4 linked regions of the Stegostoma tigrinum genome follow. The protein of the gene in region 3 interacts with the protein of the main gene of each other region in a biochemical or structural test. Links are inferred from orthologs where the notes say so. Each region holds a gene or a part of one and is shown on either strand. Other genes may lie near its edges.

Region 1 (7,769 bases), on a different chromosome or scaffold from region 3:
GCCAAGCAGCATCAGAGGAGCAGGAAAGTTGACATTTTGGGTTGAGACCCTTCTTCAGACTTTTCTGGTACAGACTTTAGATGGGTTTTAGATTTCTGAGACACTGGAACTGGTTCTGGCAAAGATGGCACCTGTACAATACAGACAGGTTACACCTAAACAGAACTGGGACTGAGTTCCTTGTGGGTTTTTTGCTGCTGCTGCTGGATGGGCTTTAAACTACCTTGGCAGGGGTGTGGGAACTATGGGAGGATATTAGAGAAGAATACAAGGGCTCACAAAATATTTGGAGAGATGGAAAGCTTTAGCATAAAGAACAGTAAACTAAAGGTGAAGCCAGAATAAGACAGCAATGAAGTCTGAGTCAAAGTCAACTGTACGTGAATGCATGGAATGTACTAAATAAGATCAGGCAGTATAGATTGCCAATGTAGAAATATGATATTGTGATGATAATCCAAGGAACATCAAGAAGGTCAGGACTATAGATTTAATCTTCCTGGATACAAGGTATTAAGAAAAGGTAAGAAAAGAAACAGAAGAATGATGGAGGTATTAGTTAAGGAGGGCATTGCAATGTGAGAGAAAAAGGGTGCCACAGAGGGTTCAATTTGCCTACAGCTGAGGGATAAAAATGATATGCAATTCCACTGCTTGATTTGGTCAACAAATCACCAATTACAAGGAAGGATGTAATGGAATAAATCTGCAAAAAAGTAACAGACATGCCAACATTGTAAATTAATTATAATGGGGACTTAAATGATCCAAATACAGGCTGGCATATTGGTAGAGTAAGGGACAGCAAATGGGGCGAATGTTTCTAGCTTGTCTTAAGGGGCATTTCCTACTGCAACATGTGTCCATCAAGAAACGACGCACTGTTGGAGCTGACGGTTAGAAATGAAAACAAGTCAGTGCAGGGGAAGCAGTCCTGGAGCAGGACTGACATGGGGGAGCTGTCCGGAGCAGCGGCTGGTGCAAGGAGCGAGTCCCAGATGGAGGGCGGCATGGGGGATGCAGTCCTGGAATTTAACTTGGAGCAGCTGAGTATGGAGTGGACTGGAGGTTTGGAGCATAGTGGGGATAGTTGTTGAATTGGGCTGCGGCGTGGGCAGTCAGACCACTTGTGGAAGCCCCTATGCTGAGCGGCTGCAATGTAATGTTATTTGAATTTTTAAAATCTGACTGTAGTTTCAATTTTTTAACTATGTCTTATTTCTAACTTATTCTTTACACACTGTAAAATATTGCAACTACTTTTCTTTTTATTTCTGTTTAGTATTTAAGATTTATACCTAGGTACTTGTACCTAAGATGGGCACATAACAGGCGACATTGCAAATCTTTTCACTGTACTCCTGTACCTGAGTACAGACAACAATAAATGATATTCCAAATAAGTGGATCAATTGTACTGGGAGAAACATTTAGCAGACAGTAACTGTCGCATCACAAGGTTTAGTACAATGTTGGAGAATGACAACAGTCGATCATCTGGCAGGAAACCAACTTCACCTGGGCAAGAACAAAGCTGGACTAGATAGAATGGAATGAAAGGGTGGCAGCAAAAACAGTAACTGGGCAATGGTCTATCTTCAAAGAGGAGATGGTTAGGGTACCGTCATGGTATTTTGCACAAAAACGACAGATAGACGGACTAATAACTTCAGAGCTCCCTGGATGAAAAATGACATTTAAATTAGGAAAAGGTGTGTTTATGACAGGTATTAGATACATTTATAGTGTTTTTTCTGTTATAATGTAGGAAGTGCGACACATTTGTACATAACAGTCTCCCACAAGCAGAAAGGAGTGTGATAGTGTCCAGATTATCTATTTTTAAATCGAGGACTATTTGGTAGTAAATATTGACAAACACCCCACACATTTCTCAAAATATTGACATGGTATCTTTTATGCTCGTCAGGGATGGTATACAGGGCCTTGTTTTGACATTTCATCCAATCCTGTAGTGTTTATAGTTAGTTATCTCATGCTAGGTGCCAAATTACCAGACATAATTTAACACTGCAGCCTAACCAGCAAGATTTGTACTCGTGGCATAGGGATAGATAAGAAGCTAGTCATAATCCAAAGATTTATGAAGATGTAAAATGCATTACCAGAAGATGATGGAAACAGAATATATAACAAATTCTAAAAGGGAAATGGAAATGGAAACATCATTGAAAAAAAAACTTAATGACAGACGATTACAGCACAAGTGGCTATTCGGCCTTTGGTGTCTGCACTGATTCACTGAACTGACAATTTACCTGGTGTCCCACCCCTCTTTTTCCCCCGCAGCCCTACGTTTTTTTTACTTTTCAGTTAGTGCTCCAAATCCCCTTGATTGCCTCAACTGAGTCCATTGTACATATATGTTTCCGTTGATGGGTGAGTCCAGAACCAGAGGACACAGTTTAAAAATAAGGGGTAGGCCATTTAGAACAGAGTTGAGGAGAAACTTCTTCACCTAGAGAGTGGTGGATATATGGAATGCTCTGCCCCAGAAGGCAGTGGAAGCCAAGTCTCTGGATAGTTTCAAGAAAGAGATGGATAGAGCTCTTAAAGATAGTGGAATCAAGGGTTATGGGGATAAGGCAGGAACAGGATACTGATTGTGGATGATCAGCCATGATCATAATGAATGGTGGTGTTGGCTCGAAGGGCCAAATGGCCTACTCCTGCACCTATTGTCTATATTCCAGGTCCTAATCAATTGCTGTAAAAAAAGCTTTTTTCTCATGTTCCCATTATTTCTTTCATCAATTAACTTAAATCTAAGCCCCCCGAGGTTCTCGATGCTTCCAACAATAGTAACAGTTTCTCCCTGTCTATTATGGAAGAACAAAATTACCAGAGTCCATAGAAAATGTAGAAGAATGAGACAAACTGTACAGGCATGATGGCTGAATACTCTCCTACCAAGATGTACAAATCTATGGATTTCTCTCATATTAATTTGATGTTTCTTCTAAATTTGCAGCAAATATTACTGCAGAAAATAATGAATGTGTTCAGGAAATAAATCTAGAAATATTGGCAATTCCATTTTTTTACTTTAAGTTTTTTTTCCCAAATGAACCAAAGTCCCCTGTCCTTGGGCATAAAAACTGGTTGACAATATCTCCGTTATCCACCACAGTATTTAAACATTGGGGGATTCCATCTAAAACCATTAGATTGAGTGACTCGAGATAATGGGAACTGCAGATGCTGGAAAATCCGAGATAACAAAGTGTGGAGCTGGATGAACACAGCAGGCCAAGCAGGATCTCAGGAGCACAAAAGCTGACGTTTCGGGCCTAGACCCTTCATCAAAGAGGGGGATGGGGAGAGGGTTCTGAAATAAATAGGGAGAGAGGGGGAGGCGGACCGAAGATGCATACAGGAGAACATAGGTGGAGAGGAGAGTATAGGTGGGGAAGTAGGGAGGGGATAGGTCAGTCCGGGGAGGACGGACAGGTCAAAGGGGTGCCATGAAGTTAGTAGGTCTGTAATGGAGGTGCGGCTTGAAATGGGAGGGGGTATAGGTGAGAGGAAGAACAGGTTAGGGAGGTGGGGACGAGCTGGGCTGGTTTTGAGATGCGGTAGGGAAGGGGAGATTTTGAAGCTGGTGAAGTCCACATTGATACCATTGGGCTGCAGGGTTCCCAAGCGGAATATGAGTTGCTGTTCCTGCACCCTGCGGGTGGCATCACTGTGGCACTGCAGGACGCCCAGGATGGACATGTCGTCTGAGGAATGGGAGGGGGAGTTAAAATGGTTCGCAACTGGGAGGTGCAGTAGTTTATTGCAAACCGAGTGGAGGTGTTCCGCAAAGCGGTCCCCAAGCCCTCTGTGTTTTATTCTAGTTTGCCAGACCAAGTGGGATTTGGCCTGTCTTCTAATGGCTGATACAGTATAACCTTCAACACCCGTAGAAGTTCAGAACAGATAGAGGCCCTTCTCTCAAAGCCTGAGTAAATAAAGATACACAACAAAAAAACAAATCCTCTGGACGGAGTGGGACTTGAATCCAAGCACTCTGGCTCAGAAGTAGGGGCACTACCATGATGCAACAACGGCTCAATTAAGGTTCAGAGACTACCGCATCATATTACTGCTCCTTAACTCTACTTCATTAGAAGTTCATTTTACATTTTTAAATGCTTTCTCAGGATATTGGCATCATCGGCAAGGCCAGGATTTTTTTGAGCATCAACTGTAATCCCGAGAGGGGGTGGATGTAGTGAGGGCCTTCTTAAACTGCATCAGTCCTTCCTGACTCACTCCATCCCCTTCTCCCTTCACTCCTCCTTCTTCCACCCTCACTCTGTGTTGAACGTCTCCACGGTGCCTTAACAAACCGACCTTTATCAATAACCTGCCCTGGTCGTGATGCTTTCCAGTGATGTATCTGCCTCTGCACACATGGGAGATCCCCGGCAACATCATCTCCCAGCCTCCCCTCGCTGAAAATGGACTCGACCTCCGCTTGTTGTTCACCCCCCCCCTCGCCGTCACATATGGACGCGTCCAGAGTTACATCACCGTGGGTGTTCTAGATCAAACTATCCGGCAAACAGAGGGGTTGTTCTGATTAATTCGGTGTAACTCTAAAATGACCAACGTCGATATAACACCACCTTTACCAAGAAATTACGGTTAAAATGTTACCTGTTAATTAAACAATGATGAATGTGTTTGATTTTACGGCCGTAAAGGAGATAACAACAAGCAACTCCCCCTCCTCTCGCCAGCGCTACGATTGGGAAGGTCCGCAATTCTCTCCCCTCCCCCCTACCCCCGGCGTGCCCGCACCGGTCTCGCGGAAGTTTGAGAGGGCGCGCGGCTGAAGGTGAAGCAGAGCCGGCGGTGAAAGGAGCGGCTGGTGAGAGAGGGACCGGGGGAGGGGGTGTAAATAAATAAATAAACAAATAGATAAACGGTCTGCGGGAAGAAAGGCTGGATAATATCAGAGACAGAGAAGCAGAAGTAGGCCATTCAGCTCGTCGGGCCTGCTCCGCCTTTTGACATCCTGGATTCCACATTCCTGCCTCTTCCCTATGACCCTTGATTTTCTTAAAGAGTAAATATCTGTCTATCTCAGCCTTGAAATGTAACCCTCAGAGGCTTTGGAATTCTGCCTTAACATATTCAGAGGTACATGGACTCTTGTCGGACACGGACGCGGTGGGTCATTGGGGATAGATGGAACGTGGAATTCAAAAACACAAACAGATTAGCGATGGAAAAGCCACAGGCTCCAAACCTATAGTTCCCAAACCCCGTACAGCTCACTTCTACCTTCTTCCCGAAGTCCACAAACGGGATTGCCCAGTTTCAGAATTTACAGTTCACGGGTACCAGCCGCCCCCTCCTTACCATAACATTATACGCCCATCCCCCATCAGGAAGGTCTTCAGGTGCTCAGCTACTACTTGGAAACAAAGGCCTGAACTGTCCCCGTCCACCGTCATATGCCTCCACCTGGAGCTAAGCTTGTCCTCACTTCAAACAACTTTTCTTTCAGTTCCCCTCACTTTCTTCAGATCAAAAAGACCATTGATACCCACATGGGCCCCCTTGGAGTTGGGGTGGTGGGTATAGATGGATGAATAGCTTATTTCTGCCCCTAATTCATTTGTCTGTATGTTACTGTGATGCCAAACACTGCTTTCAAACAGGGCCCATATGTTTCTGCTCACTTAGAAATATGCAGTTCACAAAGCAAGTTTTCATTTGTAAAATGTGTGTTAGTAAGCCATTTTATAAACTGAACAATTGAGTAGTTTTGTGAATAGACTTTAGGGCAAACATAATTATATGCTAATAGGAATATCTCTATTTTTATCTTTGCCTTTTTGGTTTTAGTTTTTATGTCAAGGATCGAGCACTTTTAAGTGCCAATGTGGATGTTTTGACTGCCAACCATTACTAAAATAATTAACTACCTACGCAGCCTGAGTTATATGTTATAAGCACCAAGGGACTATATATTATTTTAGTCATATTCCATGTGACAATTAGGAATGCTCACGACACTCAACAACATCAGGCAGAAAGACATTGCAATTGCTTCAGTCTTTGTGATATAGCTAGAGATGTACTTTGGCAGAAATAACCAGATTGCATTTGTATAGCATTTTTCATTTCTTCAGGACATTTTAAAGAATTTTTCAACAAATGAAGGACTTTGCTTCTTCACAGCTGTGATTCACTTCAATGTCAGTAATTTAGGAGCAGTTAAAATCCCATTGATATTTCTTAAGAAGAAAGATTTGCCTGGGACCTGTGAATCTTTTCAAATAGATGCAATGTTGTATTGTTACACAAGAATTAACAATTTAGTGTACGTGTTCCCGGTCATTCGCCTTGGCTAAAATGGTGATCTTCATCAGCTGTTATAAAACTGGACCTGAATGTCTCCAAATCCCACCATAAAAGCTGTTTTTTGTATCAGGCATTTAATTTAAAAACAACATAATAACGTGAGGATGTTGGAGAGAGGCTGAATGACCTATTTTAATTTTACATTGTATGTGACAATCCTGAACCCAGTCAACTCACCCTGAAGTTGCCACCAGGTTATTTGCATCACGGAGTGTTTTTCTTCATTCTGGTTTTGAAGACATTACTTAGTGTGGTCTGAGCTTATATGGTTTTTGTGAGGAACAAAATCTCTTCATAGTCTAGATTATGAAATCTCCAAGACAATTTGTTGACACCATGAGCTGTAGTTCAGGTATGTCACTGACCACGATAAGGGAGATCACAATCTTTTCAAGGTCATAAAACTTTAGTGGCGTCAGTGAAGTCTGTAGTTGATGTAATGCAGTTTTTATTTTGCAGTTTGCGTTAAATTTGTTTCAGAATTCAGTTAAAGGGGCTTGAGACTAAAAATAAAGCTACAAGGTGAGATTTAAAGTCTTGTATGCTCTTGCCATAATCAGTGGAAGCCTGTGGTTAGAAGTGAAAATTCCAAATGCTATTTTTTAAAAGTGAAAATTGATTTTTTTTCTAAGAATACAAAAAATAAGAGGGAGACCTGCTTCACCACCCTAGTTGGATCCTAGTATAAATTGGGCTTCAGTTCCACTTTCCTGTCTTCCATTCATAATTTCTTGATTCTCTGAGATACCAAAAATTTGTCTATTCCAACTTTAAATATATACAATGATAGCATAGATGATGTGAGATATAGCTTCACATGGTAAGTAATGGCAGTATGAAATGCCCTATCTGAAAATGCGGTGGAGGTAGGTTCAACCGAATGTTCAAGAGGGCATTGGATAATCATTTGGATAGAAATAGTATGCAGGAATGGGTGGAGAAGGCAGAAGATTGGCACTAGGTCATAGAATGAGTGCAGGCACAGTGGGGTGAATGGTCTCCATAACAATTGTGATTCTCTGAGATTTCAACATCTGCTAGGATGGGATTCAAACCCATATCCCAGGACATTAGCCTGGGCCTCTGGATTACTAGTACATTATCACTATGCTATTGCATTCATGTGAAGTTATTTCTCCTTGTCTCATCCTATGTGATTGGCCACTAATCATCAAAGAATATCAAAATTCATCAATTATCCTTACAGGAAGATTGTCTTCATTCCATGTAATGTTCCCTTTTAATCTAGCTAAATTTGCATTGCTTGAATTTGGTTTCAGTAGTAAGTGCTGGCTCCTTCTGTTTATTTAAACCCACCTTTTATCTATTATTAATAACTTATTTCGCTTGCTACTACTGTAAATAAGCGAGTTATCTAAAAACAAATG
Region 2 (6,837 bases), on a different chromosome or scaffold from region 3:
CCAGAGGTGAGGCGAGAGTGACAGCTGTCGACATTGTGGCTGCATTCAACTAAGTATGACGTCAAGAAGTCCCAGCAAAACTGGAAATAATGGGTAATCTCACTACTGGTTGGAGTTATACCTGGCACAAAGGAAGATGGCTGAGGCTGTCGCAAGTCAGTCATCTGAGCTCTGGGCATCTCTGCAGGAGTTGCACAAGATAGTGCCCTAGGCCTAACCATCAATCATCGCTTCATCAATAACCTTCCCTCCATCATGAGGCCAGAAGTGGTGATGTTGCCAACAACTAGATTATGTTCAGCACTATTCATAATTGCTCGGCTCCAGAAGGAGTCCATGTTTTAATGCAACGAGATCTAGACAAGTGGCAAGTAACATTTACACCACATAAATGCCAGGCAATGACCAACTCACCACTGCCCCTTGACATTCAATTGTGCTACCATCCCCAACTATCAACACCCTGGGGGTTACATCAACTAGAAACGCAACTGGACTTGCTACAAAACATGGTGGCTACAAAAATAGGTCATAGTCCAGGAATACTAGTGAGTAATTCACCTCCTGCTTCACCAAAACCTATGCACCACCTACAAGGTACAAGTCAGGAGTCTGAAAGAGTACTAGCCATTTGCTTAGTTAGGTGCAGCTCCAACAACACTCAAGAAAAGCTTGACACCGTCCAGAAAAAGCCACCTGTTTGATTGACACTACATCTACTAGTATCCACTCCCTCCACCACGGATGCTCAGTAGCAGCGGTGTGTTCTGTTTACGAGATACCCTGCAAAAATTCAAAGATTCTTGGGCAGCATTTTCCAAATTCACGACTGCTCATCTACAAGGACAACGGCAGAAGATAGATGGGAACACCACTACTTCCAAGTTCTCCTTCAAGCCACTTGCCATCCTAATTAAAACCCTGGAATTCCTGACTTGGAAATACACTGCTGTTCTTTCACTCTCTTTGGGTCAAAATACTGGAATCCCCTCCCCAAGGGCATGGTGCTCAACCCACAGCAGATCGACTGCAGCGTTTCTGTAAGGCAGCTCGATACCAGCTTCTCAAAGTTAATTGGGGACGGGGAATAAATTATGGCCAACCAGCAACGTCCCATGAGTGAAAAAGGAACACTTCGGAATGAACAAAAACACAGCTAAGTAGCCAACAGTATCAATTCTTCATTGTAAAATAGTTTCCATTCTGGGGGTTGGCAACATCTAGAAGGTAGTTCGTGACTTGATTTTATTTGGTAAATGAATGTCTCAATTAAAAATTTGGTCTTACCAGTACTGGGCGTGTGATTCACTCTTGAAGGGGTCAGCAACTCAATCGACTGATCTCGACCGGAAAGTCCATCTGAAATTGAAAAGGATTCAGTCGCAATTACAGTCTGCAGTATCTGTTGCAATCCAGGCAGTTTTGTTTCTAACAGCGCGGGGTGCCGGGGTAGGGACAAAAATCACTCTCCAGAATAGTACTTTTAACTGATTGTTTCTTTTACACAAAGTTTACATAGACCGCACGCCTACCTAGGCATGGAGCCAATCTTCAAATCATAAACAATGGAGCCCTTTCGGAATAAATAATATTTCATTTCTTTAAATTGTCAGAATTTCACGATGTTTTCCAAGTTGTATCCTAATATGCATTTGTAATTGACAAAGTGACTGAAAACACAATATCAACCGTTCGCCACAGACGTACGTACTGGGGAAGCAGAGAAAGATAGGCATTTCATTTTACATGTGATTTACCAACAATGTGGCTTGCTGTTAACAGAAACCGAACCCTGGGAGTGGGAGCTAAAAATAGCCTGAACATTGCAGGAGATTAAAATGCATAAACTCAAGAGGGACGCAGTATGTCAGGCCTCAATGGCCAGTGAGAAACAACTCTGTTTATGGTCAGGAAACGTCAGATTGAAAGATGAAATCGAGAGAATAACATTTATTTCAAATCGCCTTACATACAGGAGTCGTACACTATTTAACTCCTGCATCTGTTACACGCACATATAATGGGCCATCTTACCCTATTCTGCATTCTCTGCTCGATGGGTACAGATTTATGACAACCGTTTTTACAGCAAGATTAGGCTTTCGTTTTAAAATTAAATTTTTGTGAACCTTTCTGGCATTGGACTGACTTTCAGATTCCTTTCAGCTTCACACTAATGCAAAAGAAACAATTATCAGTAGTTCAACTTGTTTTGGAATTCGCCTCTGTTCGATTGTCAGATCTCCAGTTTCACTTCGCTCTTCACACATTTAACTCTTTGGCGAAAGAGGTGCTACAGTTTACTTGCCGTTTTTAAAACAAATTTCGTCTCGTCGGAAGGCCATCAAAACTCTAGTTATACAAAAATGTAATATAACAACCGAAGTGGCATTACAATACATTAAGCGTAAATCAGATAGAAACAGAGGGAAAAAAAATTGGCTTCATTTCCATGACTTGGCCCAACGAGGGAAGTTGTTCGACTCTTTTCGGAACAGCCAGGCAATGGTAATACTTTTTTTGGTATGCAAGCCACCGTCTACTGCATATTCAAGGCCACACAAAAATATCTAACAATCAAAGTATGAGGACCGGCTTGGAGAAGCATTGCACGTACCATTTACAGTGACTCCTATACAGTACAGGCGACTTGGAAAATTTCTGCATTGTAACTCCTTGCATAAAATCCAATCAACTGCTTATCTACTGCGACACCTGAGTAAGTAACGCCGCTTCTTTTAAAATATGAAACACTGAAAAGAATGAATATCTCCTCACCCCCCGAGTTTGTTCTGACAGTTTTCACCAATGCATTGTAAAAAGACAGAAAGCACCTCCAGCAGCAGGCTATAATGACGCAATCAGCAAGGAAATGACCCGATTTCATTCAATTCTTACGAACTGAATAAGTTATTGTATATTCCGCAAGCAAAGGAGCACTATTCAATGTGGAATCGCCAAAGTCAAGCTGCGTCGCATATTATTTACATTGAAAGCGATAGAAAGCGACTTGCTGAACCCAATCAGCTTTCATGTTCCATTCCCCAGCCAAAATCGAAAAGCACAGGGAGTTCACGAAGTCCTATCCATATTATGCATTAGTGTACCTATTCCCCCTCTATTTTTTGCGATTTTGGAATTCCACAAAATCCCTCAAAAATAAAAACTAAGTAGCAAATTAAGCCTTTCTTCGGCAACAAAATATTGCTGATCGAATGAAATGGGATTTTCATTTCGCTCCTGATGTGCCCAAATTTTGTTACATAACTTCCTTATAAACATGCGTGCACTACTGGCAACCGGCAGGTCAAACCATAGTTCATAGTGGTAGTTGAACTAGATGGCCGTGAGAATGGGTACAAACCCCCAATCTCAGAGATTCCCTGTGCCGAGGAAGGTCTTTCCACTTTGCTATTGTCAAGTTGTCTGCAGTTATTAGGAGAATATAAAAGGGACCTATACTCTGTTGAATACGTATGTTGCTAAGATGTCCGCCGTCAACATGAGCACATTGCAAATTGCGCGAACTAGTTTACTCCGCATATATCATAAGCAAATTTTATGTAGGAAACCCACTGGGGGGAAAACATTATGCATAAGTTAAGACAGTGAAAGTAATTGCGAGCCAAAGTAACAACAGCCTAATATTAATTATTAGTTTCGTTATAAATTTAAACGTGAGCCAATTTATAAAATCATTACACAAGAACATATGGTATTTGTAGATGAAGTAGCCATATTTATTTCTTAAGTTGCCATGAAGGGTATTTATATTCAATATGGCAGCTCATGACAATAAAACATTAATAGCCGCAATTCTCAATTCATTAAAATACTTAATCTAAACTGATAGCAATTACTGATCGACATTGTCAATCGAGTAGCAATTCTACAAGATAACAAAGTTACATAACAATAAATACTACTTCATTATAAATTTTAAGTAAAAGAATACCCCAAAGCACTTCACAAATTCAAAAAGAAATTGAACAGCAAAGCTGGGGAAGAAGTTAGGGGAGGACAGATAGCTTGGTCAAATGACATTTTGAGGAGATGAAAGAAAATTTCACAGAAGAGAAGTCAGGGTCACTGTGGCCTTTGCGTTTAATAGCTGGACAAAGCAGGGATTTACAGACAGGAATGTCAAGACGACACCACTGACTTGGGAAAGGAGAACATTGCAGATGTGAGGTTGAACATAGCAATAATTTGATGAGTAGGAAATTTTAAATTTTAATGCATTGAAGATGTAGATCAGAGAATACATAAAATATTGTTTTTCTTTACATTTCAAAATCATTGTTCTAATAGTTTAGTAATTTATAAAGTAAAGGAAAGAGATGCATACCCTTTGGAATATGACTACCGAAACTAGGGATTATTTTAATATTGCTGTACACCAAGATTTGTTATCAACTACAGTTAACAGGAGAAAAGGTATTGTTACAATGCCAGAAATACTTCAAAATTAACTTGGTATAAATTGACTAGTAATTAGTTGCAAGTACGTCATTTTATTTACAAAAAATAATTCTCATAAATCCAATTGCAACAAACTTGAAGCCTATCCAAAAGGAAATGGTGTTATACTGGAGAAAAACAAAGAAAAACTGATGATTTGACAAGTTGTTAAACCAGCATTCTTCAAAGGTTCAACAAATTTTATTTTATGACCAGACTACAAAGAAAGATCAAACTTCCATTTAATGCACTAATAGGAGGTATTCCTTACAGAGAAATTATCAATTCTTTAAATTTATCTCTACCTGGTTCTGCTAATCTTGGCTATTTCCGAGCCTAATCTTCATTGATCTTTGTGAATGTGAAACAATACATGAGTCGACAGAAGGCATTCCAATTTCTGTGTTATTATCCTCTTCATTTTAACATAAATAGTACACAATCGGTCTTAAGACCATAAGACATAGGAGCGGAAGTAAGGCCATTTGGCCCAACGAGTCCACTCCGCCATTTAAATCATGGCTGATGGGCATTTCAATGCAACTTCCCTGCACTCTCCCAATAGCCCTTGATTCCTTGTGAGATCAAGAATTTGTTGATCCCTGCCTTGAAGGCATCCAACGTCCCGGCCGCTGCTGCACTCCGTGGCAATGAATTCCACAAGCCCACCACTCTCAGGCTGAAGAAATGTCGTCTCATTTCAGTTTTAAATTTACCCCCTCTAATTCTAAGGCTGTGCCCACGGGTCCTAGTCTCCGCACCTAATGGAAACAACTTTCCAGCGTCCACCTTTTCTAAGCCATACATTACTTTGTAAGTTTCTATTAGATCTCCCCTCAACCTTCTAAACTCTAATGAATACAATCCCAGGATCCTTAGCCGTTCATCATATGTTAAACCTACCATTCCAGGGATCATTTGTGTGAATCACCACTGGACACGCTCCAGGGCCAGTATGTCCTTTCTGAGGTGCGGGGCCCAAAATTGGACACTGTATTCTAAATGGGGCTTCATGAATATGTACTACCACTAATCCATTTAAAAATCTGTGCACTACCATCCCCTCAGCTAAAATAACCAAAAATTGTAAATTAGTATTATTGCTGTAAGTGTTCTTTCTTTCTTCTGGAGTTTAACAGATTGACTGAAAAACAATGGTAACAAGCTTACTGCAATCAACAGACAGTGTAAATAAATGTTTGCTTTGTTAGATATCTCAGTAAGCAGCAAGTAACTCACCTTCCTGACTCCCCAGTGTTTTTCTACCACCACCATTAGGTACAAGTCTGGAGTGTGATGGAACACTCTCCACTTGCCTAGATCGTACAGCTCCAAATCATTCAAGAAGCTTGATACCGTCCAGGACAAAGCAGTCTGCTTGACTAACACCAGATCCACAGAAAATGACTCCCTCCACCACCGATGCATAGTTATTAGCAGTGTTTACCATCTACAAGATGCACTGTCAAAAATTTACCCAAACTCCTTAGACAGCAGCACCTTCCGAACATGACCTAGAAGGATAAGGGCAGCAGATACAAAGGAACTCCTTGAACTGCGAGCTCCTCTCCATGCCACTCACCATCCTAAAGTGGATATATTGCCATTCGTTCAGTGGCACTGGGTCAAGATCCTCGAGTCCCCACTATTAAAAACTGAGGGCATATCTAGATAAAAGATGGATGGCAGTAGCTAATTCCCATATTCTAAGGATTGGCCAAAAACTGTTAGCCCAGCCAGCAAAGTTCACCTTCTCTGAATGAAGTTTTTTAAAAAAACTATTCAAGCTCAGGACACAGCAGATACTCTTTTAAAAAATCCAAGCAGATTCTGTTCTCCTAGAGTTGACCAAAAGTCCAAATTTCTCAAATCATCAAATTCTTGGCGGTTTTGTAATGTAGCACTTATGATGGGGACAGCACAATCCACCTCCAGAGTTAAATCAAAACATTGCTCAGTTCTCAATAAAATAATGATACAAAAGCATGCCAAAAATATTCAATTGTACAAATATACAATAGGTAATTTTATTTTCACTGGTGATCTGCATTAACATTTAAACTCTCTTCTTGCTGTTAAGGTTCATTTTGAGATTAATTTAAGATTATTTTAAAAACATTGCCATGGCTTAATTAACAAGATTTAACTTACCTTATTCGGATGAAAATTTAAAACAAACAGTCTATCTACTTAAGAGAGTTGGTGAGGAATAAAATCTGTAGTCAAACAACATGTTTGGTGTGCAAATATCTTAGACAAATGTCTGAATTTGACATGCATAATTTGGCAAATGAAACAAAACATGCTGCACATTCATGTCAAATTTATTGCAATTGAAAGGAAATCACAACTTTTATAAATGTACTTTCATAATGA
Region 3 (7,455 bases):
CCTCTCTGATGAAGGGTCTAGGCCCGAAACGTCAGCTTTTGTGCTCCTGAGATGCTGCTTGGCCTGCTGTGTTCATCCAGCCTCACATTTTATTATCTTGGATTCTCCAGCATCGGCAGTTCCCATTATCTCTGATACTATTTTAACCTCACTGCGAAGCCTCTTCCAGGGATGCCTAACCTGAAGAAGTTACCCTCCTCCCTCCGGACCAACCTCAGGGAATCTCTCTCCCATTGCAACTCTCCACCTATCTTCTTTTCTCTCCATCTTCGGTCCGCCTCCCCCTCTCTCCCTATTTATTCCAGAACCCTCACCCCATCCCCCTCTCTGATGAAGGGTCTAGGCCCGAAACATCAGCTTTTGTGCTCCTGAGATGCTGCTTGGCCTGCTGTGTTCATCCAGCCTCACATTTTATTATCTCTGACATCTGTCCTATATCTTTCAGCCCTCAATTTAAAGCTATGCCCCCTCGTGCTCGCCGTCACCATCCTAGGAAAAAGGCTCTCCCTATCCACCCTATCTAACACTCTGGTTATTTTATATGTTTCAATTAAGTCACCTCTCAACCTTCTTCTCTCGAATGAAAACAGCCTCAAGTCCCTCAGCCTTTCCTCGTAAGACCTTCCCTCCATACCAGGCAAAATCCTAGTAAATCTCCTCTGCATCCTTTCCAAAGCTTCCACATCCTTCTTATAATGCAGTGACCAGAACTGTACGCAATACTCCAAGTGCAGGCCGCACCAGAGTTTTGTACAGCTGCAGCATAACCTCTTGGTTACGGAACTCGATCCCTCTATTAATAAAAGCTAAAACACTGTATGCCTTCTTAACAGCCCTGTCAACCTGGGTGGCAATTTTCAAGGATCTGTGTACATGGACACTGAGATCTCTCTGCTCATCTACACTACTAAGAATCTTACTATTAGCCCTGAACTTTGCCTTCCGGTTACTCCTACCAAAGTGCATCACCTCACACTTGTCTGCATTAAACTCCATTTGCCACCTCTCAGCCCAGCTCTGCAGCTTATCTATGTCTCTCTGCAACCTACAGTATCCTTCATCACTATCCACAACTCCACCGACCTTAGTGTTGTCTGCAAATTTACTAACCCATCCTTCTACGCCCTCATCCAGGTCATTTATAAAAATGACAAACAGCAGTGGACCCAACACCGAACCTTGTGGTACACCACTAGTAACTGGTCTCCAGGATGAACATTTCCCATCAACTACCACCCTCTGTCTTCTTTCAGCAAGCCAATTTTCGATCCAAACTGCTATATCTCCCACAATTCCATTCCTCCGCATTTTATACAATAGCCTACTGTGGGGAACCTTATCGAACACCTTGCTGAAATCCAAATACACCACATCAACCGGTTTACTCTCATCTACCTGTTTGGTCACCTTCTGAAAGAACTCAATAAGGTTTGTGAGGCACAACCTTCCCTTCACAAAACCAAAACCAAAAATATTCACAAAAATATTGCGAAATAGCAGGAACTGCAGATGCTGGAGTCAGAGACAACACAGTATGGAGTTGGAGGAACACAGCAGGTCAGGCAGCATCAGAGGAACAGGAAAGTTGATGTTTCGGGTCAGGACCCTTTTTCAGAAAAGATATTACACCTCCAAACAGAATTTAGATCACAAATCCTTCAGACAGGGCATTGCACTGCACTATATCGAAGAGACAATTCATGAACTTTGTTCAGAAAAGGATCCCGACCCAAAACATCAACTTTCCTGCTCCTCTGATGCTGCCTGACCTGCTGTGTTCCTCCAGCTTCATACTGTGTTGTCTATATTGCATGAATTATCTCTCTGATATAGTGCTGTGCAATGCTGTGTCTGAAGGATTTGTGATCTAAATTCTGTTTGGAGTTGTAATATCTTTCTCCGTTGATATTGTACCAAACTGCCACTGTTTCTCCTATAGAAATTATTCACTTGAGAGCATGAAATTTATATTTTTTGTACATATAGTTGGTTTTATTGTTCATTGTTTTAAATTATATAAACACTTCAATTCCAATAGATGCTGAATCTTCTTCAGCACATTTTCTAAAGATTGCAACATTTTCTTTAAGCACTAGAAATTGAAGATGAATTGCTAATAAAACTTTATCCTTAAGGTCTCTTCATGCCTGCAAACATTTTATATTCTATTTTCTCATTTTCCTTTTCAGAAATCTTCTTAATTCATGTCAAAGTTGCAGAATTTCTGTATTCAGAATTATCCTATTTATGCTGAAAAATTATTTTCAAACACTTAAATCACACCAAAATGTTTTTAAGTAAGGAATTTAGTATTTAGTATTCTGTCCTAAGAAAACTGTTAACTTGCACCATTTCCCCATTACTCTTCATGATTTAATTGCCCTTTTTAAGGCTATGGATGACTCACCCATTTGGTTCTTCTCTGAGCTTTCTGCACTATTTTGCTTGAATGTTAAGAGTTCATAAAGAAATACTTTCAGCTGATTTTCCCCTTCAAAACAATTTTCATAAACTTTTCCAAGTTCAATTTTTCCACATTTATCAGTCAATTCATACTGCTGTTTTCTGAATGTTATTGATCAGGGTCCTTTATATAAAGAATTTTTCGCAGCTTTTCCTGATACTTTAAAACAATTATAACAGTTCTGATCAACTTAAGCAACATTTTAAATCTTCTTTCAGTGATATAGGCTAGACACCCACCTTAAATATACAAAATTTTGCCTTTCTACTCATGGTTTTAATTTACTTTAGGTGTCTTGATATCAACAACTGTAATCTGGTTTTGTGATTTGGATATTTTCCCTTGTAATTCTAAGACTTTCCATGGCCTATTCAAGTTTTTATTTCACTAATTTCTCCATTTATAGCTGTTCTAAGCTTTTACTCGCCGCATTGGACTTGCTGTCAGTGGTGGTTCTCATTTAATTATTGGCTACTCCATTCACAGAAGCTGACAGAAACTTCTGAGTTGCTGATATTTAAAAATAGACTTAGTTTCCTGAGAGGAGTTTGCCTTTCTTATTCGGAGATAGCAAGATGTGGAGGTGCCAACAGTCCCGGTGAAGGGAGTAACCTGAAAAACATTGATTTTCCTGTTGCCTGACCCGCTGTGTTCCTCCAGCTCCACACTGTATTGCCTTCCTTACTTTCTTTAGATGGCTGAGGTGTTTGTAGTTCTGAAGATTTCTTCAGGTTGTGTTCACTGCCGCTATCATATTATGTGAGACAGTGATGTCCACCGCCGCCAGCATACTGTAATGGGCAGCTAAATTAAATCTTCAGGTGACCACTATTGACGCATATTATAATGGTCAGGCTGGGAAGCTCTCAGTAGCTTCACTGCCACTAACCTTTTTTAGTGGTAGCAGTCCACGCTTCTGAGTTCATGAAGGGGAAGGTGCCTACACAATCTTTTCAGCAGAAGAAAGAGTAATTCTTGTGAAACAGTAAATACATTTGTTATATATTACTAAATAGTTACATCACATCTGAAATACAAGATGGTCTCTTGTGAACGATCAGGTTCAACTTAAGAGTAGGTCCATTTTGCTGCTAGTAAAACATTGTCAATAAACGCAGAACTAGTTAACTCCCCCCAGGAACAGCCTTATACAATTATTTTAAATCAATCCGTCCAGGCATGTTATGACACACCTCTGGGATAGGTGGAATGGAACCCAAAGTCTCTAGCTGAGATATAGACACACTTCAAGGCCATTACCATCCTTCAGATTCTGATTGGCATCATGCCAGTTAACCCTTTGGGTGCTAACTGCCTGATACAAGAAGTGTCTCTTTGGCAAAAACGCCAAGTTGGTGTAGCCAAATATTGGCAGAAATGGTAGAGACTTCGAGGTACGAGCAGTGGCAAACTCCGCAGGCCGTACTTATATAGAAAAGAACAGTACTGTGTGTTCCAGGCTTTTGACACTTCAATTTAGGCTGCGATGCCACTAAGTCTTTTTATCCTCCTGCACTACAAATGTTCTGACGCAGAGAAGTAGTCGTCAATTTTTTTAACAGATGCGGATTGTCCCGTGTAAGTTTCTTGAGTGTTCAACCATTCTGACCATTTTACAACTGGAAAAAGTGCTGAGTGCAGAGCTATCGTTCAAAAGTGCAAACAAAAACCCTGTAAAGACTTGCTTTCGCGTGTCACAAGCTAGTTGCGATTTGCGTGGGAAGTTGGGAGCTCCCCCTCAGCTTGAGGAAACTTCAATAATAAAGGGTGGTAAGGATCGTGACCGCCGAGAATAAAAGTTGCGGGTGGACCACACCGCGCTTATGCTTGCGTGTGCGCGCGCAGTAAAGCGGAGCCTCCCAGCAACTCGGGGAAGGTCGGTCCGAGCGGGGAGGGTAGGCGGCGCGCGGACCGTCCCAGGCCGTCAGCTTCGATCCCGTGGGAGGCCAGGGGGCGCGCCTGCTCCGCGCTGACGGGCACGCGCGCTCTCGCGCAGTGACGCGCTCCAGCCCACCTCTTCCCGCCCCTCGCTGTGACAATCGCCCGTGCTGCCAGTGGGGGAGCGCGTGGCTGCGAACCCTGTGACAGTGGCGACCCGCTGCCGACGAGCACCTGAGACCACAGCGGAGCGGCTCGCAAACCTGCCCGGCAAGATCGGGGGCGAGAAGCTGCATCTACCTCCAGCAACCAGGTAAACGTGACGCCTGCTCCTGCCGGGCAAGTGCCGCGGGGGGAAGCGACCGACATTCGTGCTGAATGCTTTGAAGAGTCAAGGTTAGTGTCGTTTAGAAAAGTGCTGATGTAACTGCCTGTAAATCAATACATTGGGACGTAGCGAAGGGCAAGTACGAGGGTGTTTAAATATCGAGTAACCAAGCGAGTGGAAAGAGTTTGGACAGAGCAATTTGCTCACAGTACTCTGCACTGAAGAATTCAGCTCCAGTTGTACTTAAGTCATCACCCCTGAAAACACATTGCAGAACTTTCACAGTCCTATTGAGCAGGTTGGGATGTTTCATTCACTTTTTTAAAGATGACCATATATACCTTGTATGACTCCAACTCTATATTATTTCTTGTCAGCAACTAAGTGAACTCCTTTCAGAAGCGCTAAATTGAATAAATATTTCAGAAGAGGTGCCCAGTTTGTTGCACTAAGTCATGTGGCTGTGGTATGTCGCTTTATCGGAGTTACTGTCGCTGATACTTCATCTTTTGCAGATGCTAATCATAGATGGGGAATTAAATTATCTAGGTTTATGTTATGTTTGGCTACTTTTGTCTATTGTTCAAAAATCTCCATTGAAGAATACAACGATGTTGCGCAAGTAAAAAGCATTAATCAATGGTCTAAGCATTTTTCGCGATAAGAATTTAAACTGCTTTGTGAAACATTATTGACGTTAACATTCATAAAAAACCTTGAAGTATTTAGCCACGTATGTTTAAGCATTTTGAAATAAATTTAATTACATTAAAATACAATGAAATCATGACGGGTCAAATTCAGATAATTTGAAACTCTGAATCAGGTTATCCGCCATTCTGTGGGCAGAACAGGAAATCTAATAGAAGGATGCCTGTGATGAACCTAAGTTCTGGACTGATAACTCTGGATTAGCAGAACGTATACACACGTTATTGTGTAACTGTTCAAATCAATCAGACTGGTGTCAGGACATGCTAGAGCCAAAATCATAGCAAACTTGTAATATTAGCTCCAAAATGGTCTCACCCACATCCGAAATGAATATACACCAAGGAACATTTTTAATATCAATGAAAAGGAACTGATTTACTATCTTTTGCTAGATTGCTGTTTACTGCTTAAAGATGAAATATTTAATGACAGAAAGTAAAGCAAAGAACCTGCTGTTGCAGGATGGCATTGAAAAGCTGACTCTGATTGTAATGTCCAAGAAGCCATACTATTTTGCAAACATAACGACACTACACACACTCGGAGGTACGCGAATGATCGCCAGCGTTTCTGAAGCAAGGATCAGGAAAATGGACGAAATGTATCAACGTAAGAAAAGGAAGGTTATCATCCTGGTGGCCCTGAAGAATCTGGTGAGTGGCCACCCATTTCCACAGCTGAAGCCATAAAGGCCACCGAGGTCTTCCAGGATTCCACGCTGCAGCACAAAATCTGGAAAATATGCTTAACTGCATTGACAATGTAGCAGAAGACTGCATGCTAAGCAGATTACAAATTACTGACTTTTCCAGAGCTACCTTCCAATGCTTTTCAATTATTTTTACTGCACAAGGTCAGGCCATGGTAACGTGTTGACGACTTGAAAAATAAAGACATTTTTCATATTTACTGTGTTACTACTATATTTTCTTCATTTGTTGCAGGCAAAGCAAGTTACATATGGTGTCCTCAGCTCTCTTGAAGCTCCATTTCACATGGATTTGTGGGCAGGCCCCGACTATTTGACTAATTACACTTTTTCAGTTTATCGGAGAAATTATATTCAAATTATTAATCAACCTACATGTACATTGTACATTTTATACCGAAGGATCATAGACCTGAAGCATCAGGCTGAATATTGAGGAGGTTGGGATGCTTTGTACAATTTTTAAATTCAAAAGATATGTTTTCATTTGTTTTTTTCATATTAACTCAGTGAAACTAATTTGTAAAATCCAAGCTAGTATAACCTTTGCAGAGAACAGGCTGGACAAACATGACACAGCAATAAAGGGCATAGAACACAGGAGCAAGGAGATTATGTTGAACTTGTGTGAGACCCTAGTTAACCCAAGCTAGAGTATTGCGCACAGTCCTGGGCACCACACTTTCAAAAGGCTGTAAAGGTATTAGAAAGAGTGCAGAAAAGATTGGTAAGAAGTATTCAATGAATTCAAGTTATAATGTAATAAGGTGAACAATTTAGAATTTTTTTTGAGAGATGAATGGTTTGGGAACGAAATGACAGTGATATAAAGTAATTGAAAATGGAAGCCAAAAGGATAGGAGAAAATATTATTAAGGCCTAGAATGTATTGTGAGGAGTGGAGTGGAGGTGGATTCAATTAAAGCATCCAGAAGGGAATTAAATTGTTGTCCAAAAAGACCAAATGTACAGGATTACAGTGCACAGACAGAAGGATTGCATAAAGCGAAATGTTCATCTGAATGGCCGATATTGACAAAATGGCCTCCTTCTGCACTTTAACAGTTCTATAATTATGTGATGTCATGTAGCGGTGACTATCACTTTCAAACCTCCCCTACCTCATCAGCACATCGTATACCATCCTCTCACCCCCAATTGCCAAAACCTCCATATTTAATATACAAAAGATGAAAGTCTGTATATGAAATAACTGCACAGAGGCCAGTATCCTGTTACCGATGACCTTTTATTTATGCGTGGACAGCCAGTTCAGAGTTAATCCCCAAAGTGAGGAGATTCTGAATCTCCCATTTATATCTGTTGTCCAGGGATCTCTGGCCCAGGTTAACAACCCCAACT
Region 4 (7,802 bases), on a different chromosome or scaffold from region 3:
AGGAACGTGGAGGAGATGGGAGCATGGCATTGTGGCTTAAGATCAGCAACGACCATGCTGGAATGGCACAAGTCTGATGGTCCAGCTGATCTATTATTGCTCCTGTTTCGTGTTCACAAAAGCTCACAAACTTCCAGTGGTTATTTTTAAAAAATGATGAATATTTGCCGATCTTATCTGTGGCCCCAAAAATTCAGGCTAAATCAGTTGCCCTCTGAAGGGGGCTAGTATCACATTTGCATCACATCTTCTCTTGGAAACTGGAATAAACACCCCAAGTGTTAACATTGTCACTGACAGCCGCATTGCAAGAAGAGATTGTTAAAACTTTCACATGGGCATTTTAAAATACTTTTGAACATGAAACTTAAAAGGCAATGTTGTAATACAGCACAAGATATTATGTGCCAATAGCTACCATTACAAATTGTCCATGAAGCAGAAGTAACTTTAGAATTCACATTTGGGTTTTATTTTATGGGAATTCAACCAAAGTGACCCAATTCAAATTCAGAAGCAATACTGGAACACGTTACTATTTTAGGAATGCATTGACCTAATACACATTAAACCATTTCAAAAGCACTTCTTTCATAAGAGCATGAATAAATGTCTTGATCAATTGGTACATACAACAGATCTGTTAGATGTCATCTCCACTAGGATGATGGCTGACTCAACAATACAACATCATCTTTTCAGGGCCAGCACAATTTGTGTCATTACACTAGACAGTTCTGTAAACAACAATCAATAATGGCTTAAATGTTGCACGGGATGGAGAAGAGTACAAAATGAGAGTGTTGAATTAAAAGGTTAAAAATTCAAAATTCAACTTTAAATCTATTCTCATACATCCTACCACATGAAATCTAAACAGAGACAAAATTATTGGACAGAAGCATTTCTGTTCTTATTTTGTCAGTCAAAGAGTAGCACAAACAATGTTCATGGATATATCAGTGGCCTGAACCAACTAGACCTGTTCTAATCAATGTCAAACAAAGCGGGTTAACTCAGAAGAAAAGGAAAATAATAAAATGACTGCTATATACGAAAACGCAAAAGAGTGTTTGTGTTAACCAAAAAATGTTTTGCTCCAGCTCTATGTGACATCTGGGGGAGAGCATCAATTTCACCGTAAAACAAAAAAAACTAAAGAGCTGTTCATACTTAAGTAATTTCATGTAAATAGACCAAATAAAACTTGCTACATACCAAATAAAATTTAAACTACTATACTGAATGCACCAAAAGGATAGAAACAGAAGGATAAACTTTTAATTTTTAAAATAGAAATATGTACAAAAGTAAACTTCAAAGATTAGATTCCTTCTATCATTAGGTGAAACCTGTAATCAAACTGTAATATGGTCGGTAAAACTGTAAGCTTGTATGGTGACTGGTTGCTTGGACGTACAGTGCACAGCAGAATCCATACACAAGACAGATGTCACAGGATGTAACAGGGTACCTCCCTGACCAATCAGTTGATCAATGACATAGCTCTACACAAATCAGAAATGGCCCAAGCTTAACCTTCAGCATTCCTTCATGTAGCTCAGCTCATGATAATGCTTAAGCTGCAGTCAATGCTCCCAGTTAAAGAGGAGATTTTAAAAATACCGCCAGGGTGCTAGTCTTGAGCAGTACCCATCGATTCCTGCTTAAAAGTGCTTGGATGGATATTTGAGTCAAATAAAATGAGATTTGGCAATACACCGGACTGGTCAAATAGCCTAAAAAACATTAATTAAAGTGGTGCGTCCGTGGAAAGTGGCTGGTTTCAAAACATCTCAGTGCAGCTGCAGAATTTCATCTCAGCATGAGGGATCATCTTCACGAGGGGTTGGGGGAATGTTACCTTGCTTGTTTGTAACACCAAAGTTATTTAAACAAAGTCTAACAAGTAGCATTACAGACGTAAATAAAAGCTTTTGTATTAATCAAATGGATTATGCGCAGAATTCAACTCTGTTTTCAAAGCATTATGCAAAATCCTCAAATGCAACTTCTTTCTTAGTGGCTACCTCGGGCATTTTCTGTCGGCTGACAGGAGTCAAAGATCAAACCCAACAGAAGACTCCAGTCGCTGAAGACAACAAGATAGATCCCTGCAGTAATGGACTGTTTAATTATTCATTCCCAGCTCTGAATTTGAACGGACATTCTTGCTCATTTACTTCTACAAATTATTCAAAGCAACGCACACCTGAAACCATCTGTCAGTTGAAAACCCATCAACACACCAGCAATCCCTGGGCAATATACACGTGGAATTGGAAACCACTACTGTTTCAAAGGCATGTCCTAGACAGCAATACAGGTCAACACATCCTCAAGGGATATGCTGTATTCTGAGCACGGTCCTTGACAGTTCATACAGGCCAAGCGGCAGCAGAAAGTTTTGACAATAAAATACTAAATGATCATTTGCTTCCTCACATCTCATTATAATAGCCACTTGAGTGGTAAGAACACCGAAATTGAATTCCACATGCCTTGCTGCAAACTACTGTTAAAGAATAAGAAGTTCACACTTACTACGCAGTTGTTCAGAGGCATAATAGTATACATCTTCATATCCCTCATGATAATCCTCTTCTGGTCTATATTTCTTGCTTTTCCTTCTCCTCGACCTTCTCATTTGTTTCATAAGGTACAAAAATCGGTCCATGCTTACGCTTGTACCTTGTCAACCTGTTCACTGTCGAGGCGTTTAGCGGCAGCGCTACTCAACACAAAAGTGACAGAGCAGAAGTGGGCAACATTAAATAGACTGAAGGTGGTTGCACACTGCAGCCTTTTTCAAACTACAGCTCTCAGAGCCGTTTTAAACAAAGCTGCTAATATCTGTTAGTAAAGGCCAAGACGGCGTTTGAAGATTGAAGCCATCAAACTTAGAGCTGTAAAAAGACTGGAGAAACACCGTCTGACATTGTCCAAAAGGAAAGAACAAAGTTCAAATGAACTACTGACGGTGAGGGCAAGGAATCCCAATGCTTGGATTGCACTATCCAATCCCTCTCCTACTTATTTCATCACTCAGGGGGTGGGGGCGTGCATGCATTAATTTCTACCGACTGCACCAAAATAAAAAAAGAGATCAAACGTTACTCAACTTAATAATTAAGTCCTTCCACTTCACGCACACAGTGAAGCACACAGGATGCTGAGTAGCGGCTGACTTCATCTGCCAAAAGAGGGTTTTACAGTGGGAGAACACCACACACACAGCGAGCGAGCTAAATGGTTCAATCCACTCAGCACACTCGCAGCCAAGTGTCAATGTGTTAATTACAGCGGTAAGGAAGCTCAGCAGCTGTTTAAACTGACACCTTAGCTCTCTGGACGGTTGTGTTCAAATTGCGATTTGTTTTCAATGTTCAAGGTATTACCATGAAACCACAACATGTTCATCAGCAGTGGGAAGACAATTAGAGGTGGTTCAGGATACTTGAGTGTTTGATCTTTCAACCGAGTTTCCAAGCAACAGACAGACAGACACACACACACACACACACACACACACACACACAGAGTCAAGGACAATAGATTCTTACTGTTTAGATTCTCAGCAGCGTGAACGGATTAATTTTTTTGGGGGAGGAAGAGGTGGTTAACAGTCTAGACAAAAGTTAAATGCTGATTTTTTTTAGTAAAAGCACAAATCGCTTCAGGATAACACATTAATTACATATTCACAGATAAGGTAGGAATCTGTAAGGAATGCAAAATAAAATTACATTCCTTTGTCAGTCAGTAAGGCATCGTTTGCATAGAGTCGTCAAACAGTGATTTTAGTGCAGTCCTTTGTTTTACTGACCCGAGACTTCCAGCAGCCGGAGGTTTCGGATTGCAGTTAATCAAACCATTTCTCAATGAGGATTGCTGAGTGGGGTATTCTGTTCTGCTGTGAACAAGATTTTCTTCGATCTAAGTCAACCAGCAAGTCATTTCATCTTCAAATGAAATGTACTTTGAAGTCACCCTGAGGATCAAGTACCTAGTTTCTTTTTGACATGGCAGCTAAATTTTGATCCTTTGCTTTTTTTGTGAAAAGGAACATGACACACTAGGGAATCAGGAGGAGTTATAAAATTATTTCTAAATTACATTTGAATAGAAATGCTAGTTTTGAGAGACTGTCTAAAGTTATTTCAAAACAACTTGTATACAACCAAAAATCGATTTAATTAAACTATAAATATATTAAATTTTATTGTTGCCAAATGTGGTAACACGGCTATGTTGTTGGTCTAATAATTCAAAGGGCTGGGTCCTATTGTCATGGAGTCACGAAGCACTGAAACTGGCCCTTTGGTCCAACTTATCCATGTCGACCAAGTTTCCCAAACTATGCTAGTCCGATGGGCCACCTTCCTCTAAACCTTTCCTATTCATGTGCTTTGTCTTTTAAATGTTGTAACTATACCTGCATCTACCACTTCCTCTAGCACTTCGTTCAACCTGTGAACTACTCTGTGTGACTAAGTTGCCCCTCAGATCCCTTTTAAGTCTTTCTCCTCTCACCTTTAAACTATGCCCTCTAGTTGTGATGTTCCCGACTCTTGAGAAAAGAACTTTGCCATTCACCTTATCTATGCGCCTCATGATGTAATAAACCTCTATAAGATCACTCCTCAATATCCTACGCTCCAGTGAAAACAAAATCACAGCCTATTCCAGTGGTTAGCACTGCCGCCTCACAGCGCCAGGGACCCGGGTTCGATTCCAGCCTCGGGCGACTGTCTGTGCGGAGTTTGCACATTCTCCCCGTGTCTGCGTTGGTTTTCGCCGGTTTCCTCCCACAGTCCAAAGATATGCAGGCTGGGTGGACTGGCCATGCTAAATTGCCTGAATTGTTCAGGGAGGTGTAGATTAAGTGGGTTATAGGGGATGGGTCTGGGTGGGATGCTCTGAGGTTCGATGTGGACTTTTTGGGCCGAAGGGCCTGTTTCCACACTGTAGGGATTCTAATGATTCTATCCAACCTAGCCTTATAACTCAAAGCACTCCAGTTCCGGGCACAACCTCCATAAAATCTTCTCTCTGCATCTTCTCCAATTTAATAAAATACTTCCTACAGCAGGGCAACCAGAACTACACACAGTACTCCAAAAGTTAATTCTCCAATGTCCTCTACAATCTCAACATGGATGTCCCAACTCCTATTCTCAATGGTCTCAGCGATGAAGGCAAGCATACCAAATACCTTCTTTATCATCCTGTCTACCTGTGATGCTACTTTCAAAGAACAATGTACCTGACCCCCTAGGTCTCTGTTTGGCAACGTGACCCAGAGCCCTACCATTAACTGTACAAGTGTGCCCTTGTTTGGCTTATCAAAATGCAACGCCTCCCATTTATCCAAATCAAAGTTTATCTGCCATTGGCCCAAGTGATCAAGATCTCTTTGTAATCTTAGATACCTTCTTCCCCATCCATTACAGCACCAATTTTGGTGCGATTCTCGGAACACAAGTTCATATTCCAACCCAGTAGTTGTAAAGTTTATATTCCCTTCACTAAATGAATTAGAACGAAAAGTTAGAGTAATGGGGACTGTGTGATTCCAGTGGACAATCATGGTAATATCTTTTCTTGAAGGAGACCTTCTGATCTTACCCTGTCTAACCTAAGCAACTCTGAATGTGCTATGAAATGGTGGGAATGTGCAGGTGCATGTGAAATTTAAAAGTGAATAAATGGTTGGCATCAACACCGCATGACATTCAGACCTGACCCTGCAAAAGCACAAGATAATAAAATGTGAGGCTGGATGAACACAGCAGGCCAAGCAGCATCTCAGGAGCACAAAAGCTGACGTTTCGGGCCTGGACCCTTCATCAGAGAGGGGGATGGGGGGAGGGAACTGGAATAAATAGGGAGAGAGGGGGAGGCGGACCGAAGATGGAGAGTAAAGAAGATAGGTGGAGAGGGTGTAGGTGGGGAGGTAGGGAGGGGATAGGTCAGTCCAGGGAAGACGGACAGGTCAAGGAGGTGGGATGAGGTTAGTAGGTAGCTGGGGGTGCGGCTTGGGGTGGGAGGAAGGGATGGGTGAGAGGAAGAACCGGTTAGGGAGGCAGAGACAGGTTGGACTGGTTTTGGGATGCAGTGGGTGGGGGGGAAGGGCTGGGCTGGTTGTGTGGTGCAGTGGGGGGAGGGGATGAACTGGGCTGGTTTAGGGATGCAGTGGGGGAAGGGGAGATTTTGAAACTGGTGAAGTCCACATTGATACCATATGGCTGCAGGGTTCCCAGGCGGAATATGAGTTGCTGTTCCTGCAACCTTCGGGTGGCATCATTGTGGCAGTGCAGGAGGCCCATGATGGACATGTCGATGTAGAGGTCAGTACGCCATACTACCACTGCGCCACCCTTGTCTGTCAGTGGTAGTATGGCGTACTGACCTCTACATCGACATGTCCATCATGGGCCTCCTGCACTGCCACAATGATGCCACCCGAAGGTTGCAGGAACAGCAACTCATATTCCGCCTGGGAACCCTGCAGCCATATGGTATCAATGTGGACTTCACCAGTTTCAAAATCTCCCCTTCCCCCACTGCATCCCTAAACCAGCCCAGTTCATCCCCTCCCCCCACTGCACCACACAACCAGCCCAGCCCTTCCCCCCAACCCACTGCATCCCAAAACCAGTCCAACCTGTCTCTGCCTCCCTAACCGGTTCTTCCTCTCACCCATCCCTTCCTCCCACCCCTAGCCGCACCCCCAGCTACCTACTAACCTCATCCCACCTCCTTGACCTGTCCGTCTTCCCTGGACTGACCTATCCCCTCCCTACCTCCCCACCTACACCCTCTCCACCTATCTTCTTTACTCTCCATCTTCGGTCCGCCTCCCCCTCTCTCCCTATTTATTCCAGTTCCCTCCCCCCATCCCCCTCTCTGATGAAGGGTCCAGGCCCGAAACGTCAGCTTTTGTGCTCCTGAGATGCTGCTTGGCCTGCTGTGTTCATCCAGCCTCACATTTTATTATCTTGGAATCTCCAGCATCTGCAGTTCCCATTACCCCTGCAAAAGCACAAAATTGTTTCAGCGCAGAAAAACACCATTCATCTCATTATGTCTGCACCAGCTCTCTGAATGGGCATTATGACTTCGTGCTATTCTCCTCTCTGTTCCCTTTAACCCTGTACATTGTTTGTATTCAAACTAACCATTACCTCATGCCCGCTTGCATATTTTTAATTGAACTTTTCCCCAATCAAACTTCCAGGCAGTACATTTCAGATCCCGACTGCTCAAGATTGTGAAAAAGTCTTTGTGAAAAAGGCAAAAACAAAGTCCATTAAATACTTGCCCTCTTGTTCTTCACCTTTAACAACTGGGAACAATTTCTTCATGTCTGCTTTGTCCAAGCTTTTCAGGATTTTGAAAATTTCTATAAACTCTCCTCTGAGCCTTCCCTTCTTCAAAGAAAACAGTCCCAACTGCTCTAATCTATCTTCATAAACTGAAGTTTCTCATTCCTGGAGCTGTCCTTGTAAACCTCTTTGGCAGTCTCCCCAGTGTGTTCATATTCTTCTTAAAGTGGGCCTTCCAGAACTATAAAATACTCCAGTTGATATCTAACTTGAGTTGTATACATATTCGGCATAACTTCCTTGCTGTTGTGCCTAACCCCACAATAAATTCTAGGATACTGTACATTTTATTAACTGCCATTTATGGCTGTCTTGCCATCTTATACACATATACACCTCAGTCACACTACTCCTGCACATCCTTCAAAATATTGGACTTACAGTTTACAATGATTCCAAGTTTTGTATCATTTT

What was found.
Region 1: the proteins of pparg (region 3) and ncoa4 form a complex in vitro, tested with the Homo sapiens proteins (2 studies listed by BioGRID, with this or other methods). The link is inferred for Stegostoma tigrinum from reciprocal best matches to the Homo sapiens genes PPARG and NCOA4.
Region 2: the proteins of pparg (region 3) and hdac4 form a complex in vitro, tested with the Homo sapiens proteins (2 studies listed by BioGRID). The link is inferred for Stegostoma tigrinum from reciprocal best matches to the Homo sapiens genes PPARG and HDAC4.
Region 4: the proteins of pparg (region 3) and grip1 form a complex in vitro, tested with the Homo sapiens proteins (2 studies listed by BioGRID). The link is inferred for Stegostoma tigrinum from reciprocal best matches to the Homo sapiens genes PPARG and GRIP1.

What each region holds. Positions count from the first base shown.
Region 1 is NC_081390.1:6,288,852-6,296,620, reverse strand, and holds the start of ncoa4 (nuclear receptor coactivator 4), read left to right. Parts: upstream 1-4,752; 5' UTR 4,753-4,879; intron 4,880-7,769. UniProt on the Homo sapiens protein: Cargo receptor for the autophagic turnover of the iron-binding ferritin complex, playing a central role in iron homeostasis. Acts as an adapter for delivery of ferritin to lysosomes and autophagic degradation of ferritin, a process named ferritinophagy.
Region 2 is NC_081360.1:21,568,439-21,575,275, forward strand, and holds the start of hdac4 (histone deacetylase 4), read right to left. Parts: upstream 3,017-6,837; 5' UTR 2,888-3,016; coding exon 2,779-2,887; intron 2,735-2,778; exon of another isoform or gene 1,955-2,734; intron 1,752-1,954; exon of another isoform or gene 1,737-1,751; coding exon of another isoform or gene 1,712-1,736; intron 1,360-1,711; coding exon 1,288-1,359; intron 1-1,287. UniProt on the Homo sapiens protein: Responsible for the deacetylation of lysine residues on the N-terminal part of the core histones (H2A, H2B, H3 and H4).
Region 3 is NC_081364.1:24,839,580-24,847,034, forward strand, and holds the start of pparg (peroxisome proliferator-activated receptor gamma), read left to right. Parts: upstream 1-4,447; 5' UTR 4,448-4,655; exon of another isoform or gene 4,656-4,738; intron 4,739-4,859; exon of another isoform or gene 4,860-4,968; intron 4,969-7,455. UniProt on the Homo sapiens protein: Nuclear receptor that binds peroxisome proliferators such as hypolipidemic drugs and fatty acids.
Region 4 is NC_081371.1:38,284,660-38,292,461, reverse strand, and holds the start of grip1 (glutamate receptor-interacting protein 1), read right to left. Parts: upstream 3,011-7,802; 5' UTR 2,678-3,010; coding exon 2,545-2,677; intron 1-2,544. UniProt on the Homo sapiens protein: May play a role as a localized scaffold for the assembly of a multiprotein signaling complex and as mediator of the trafficking of its binding partners at specific subcellular location in neurons.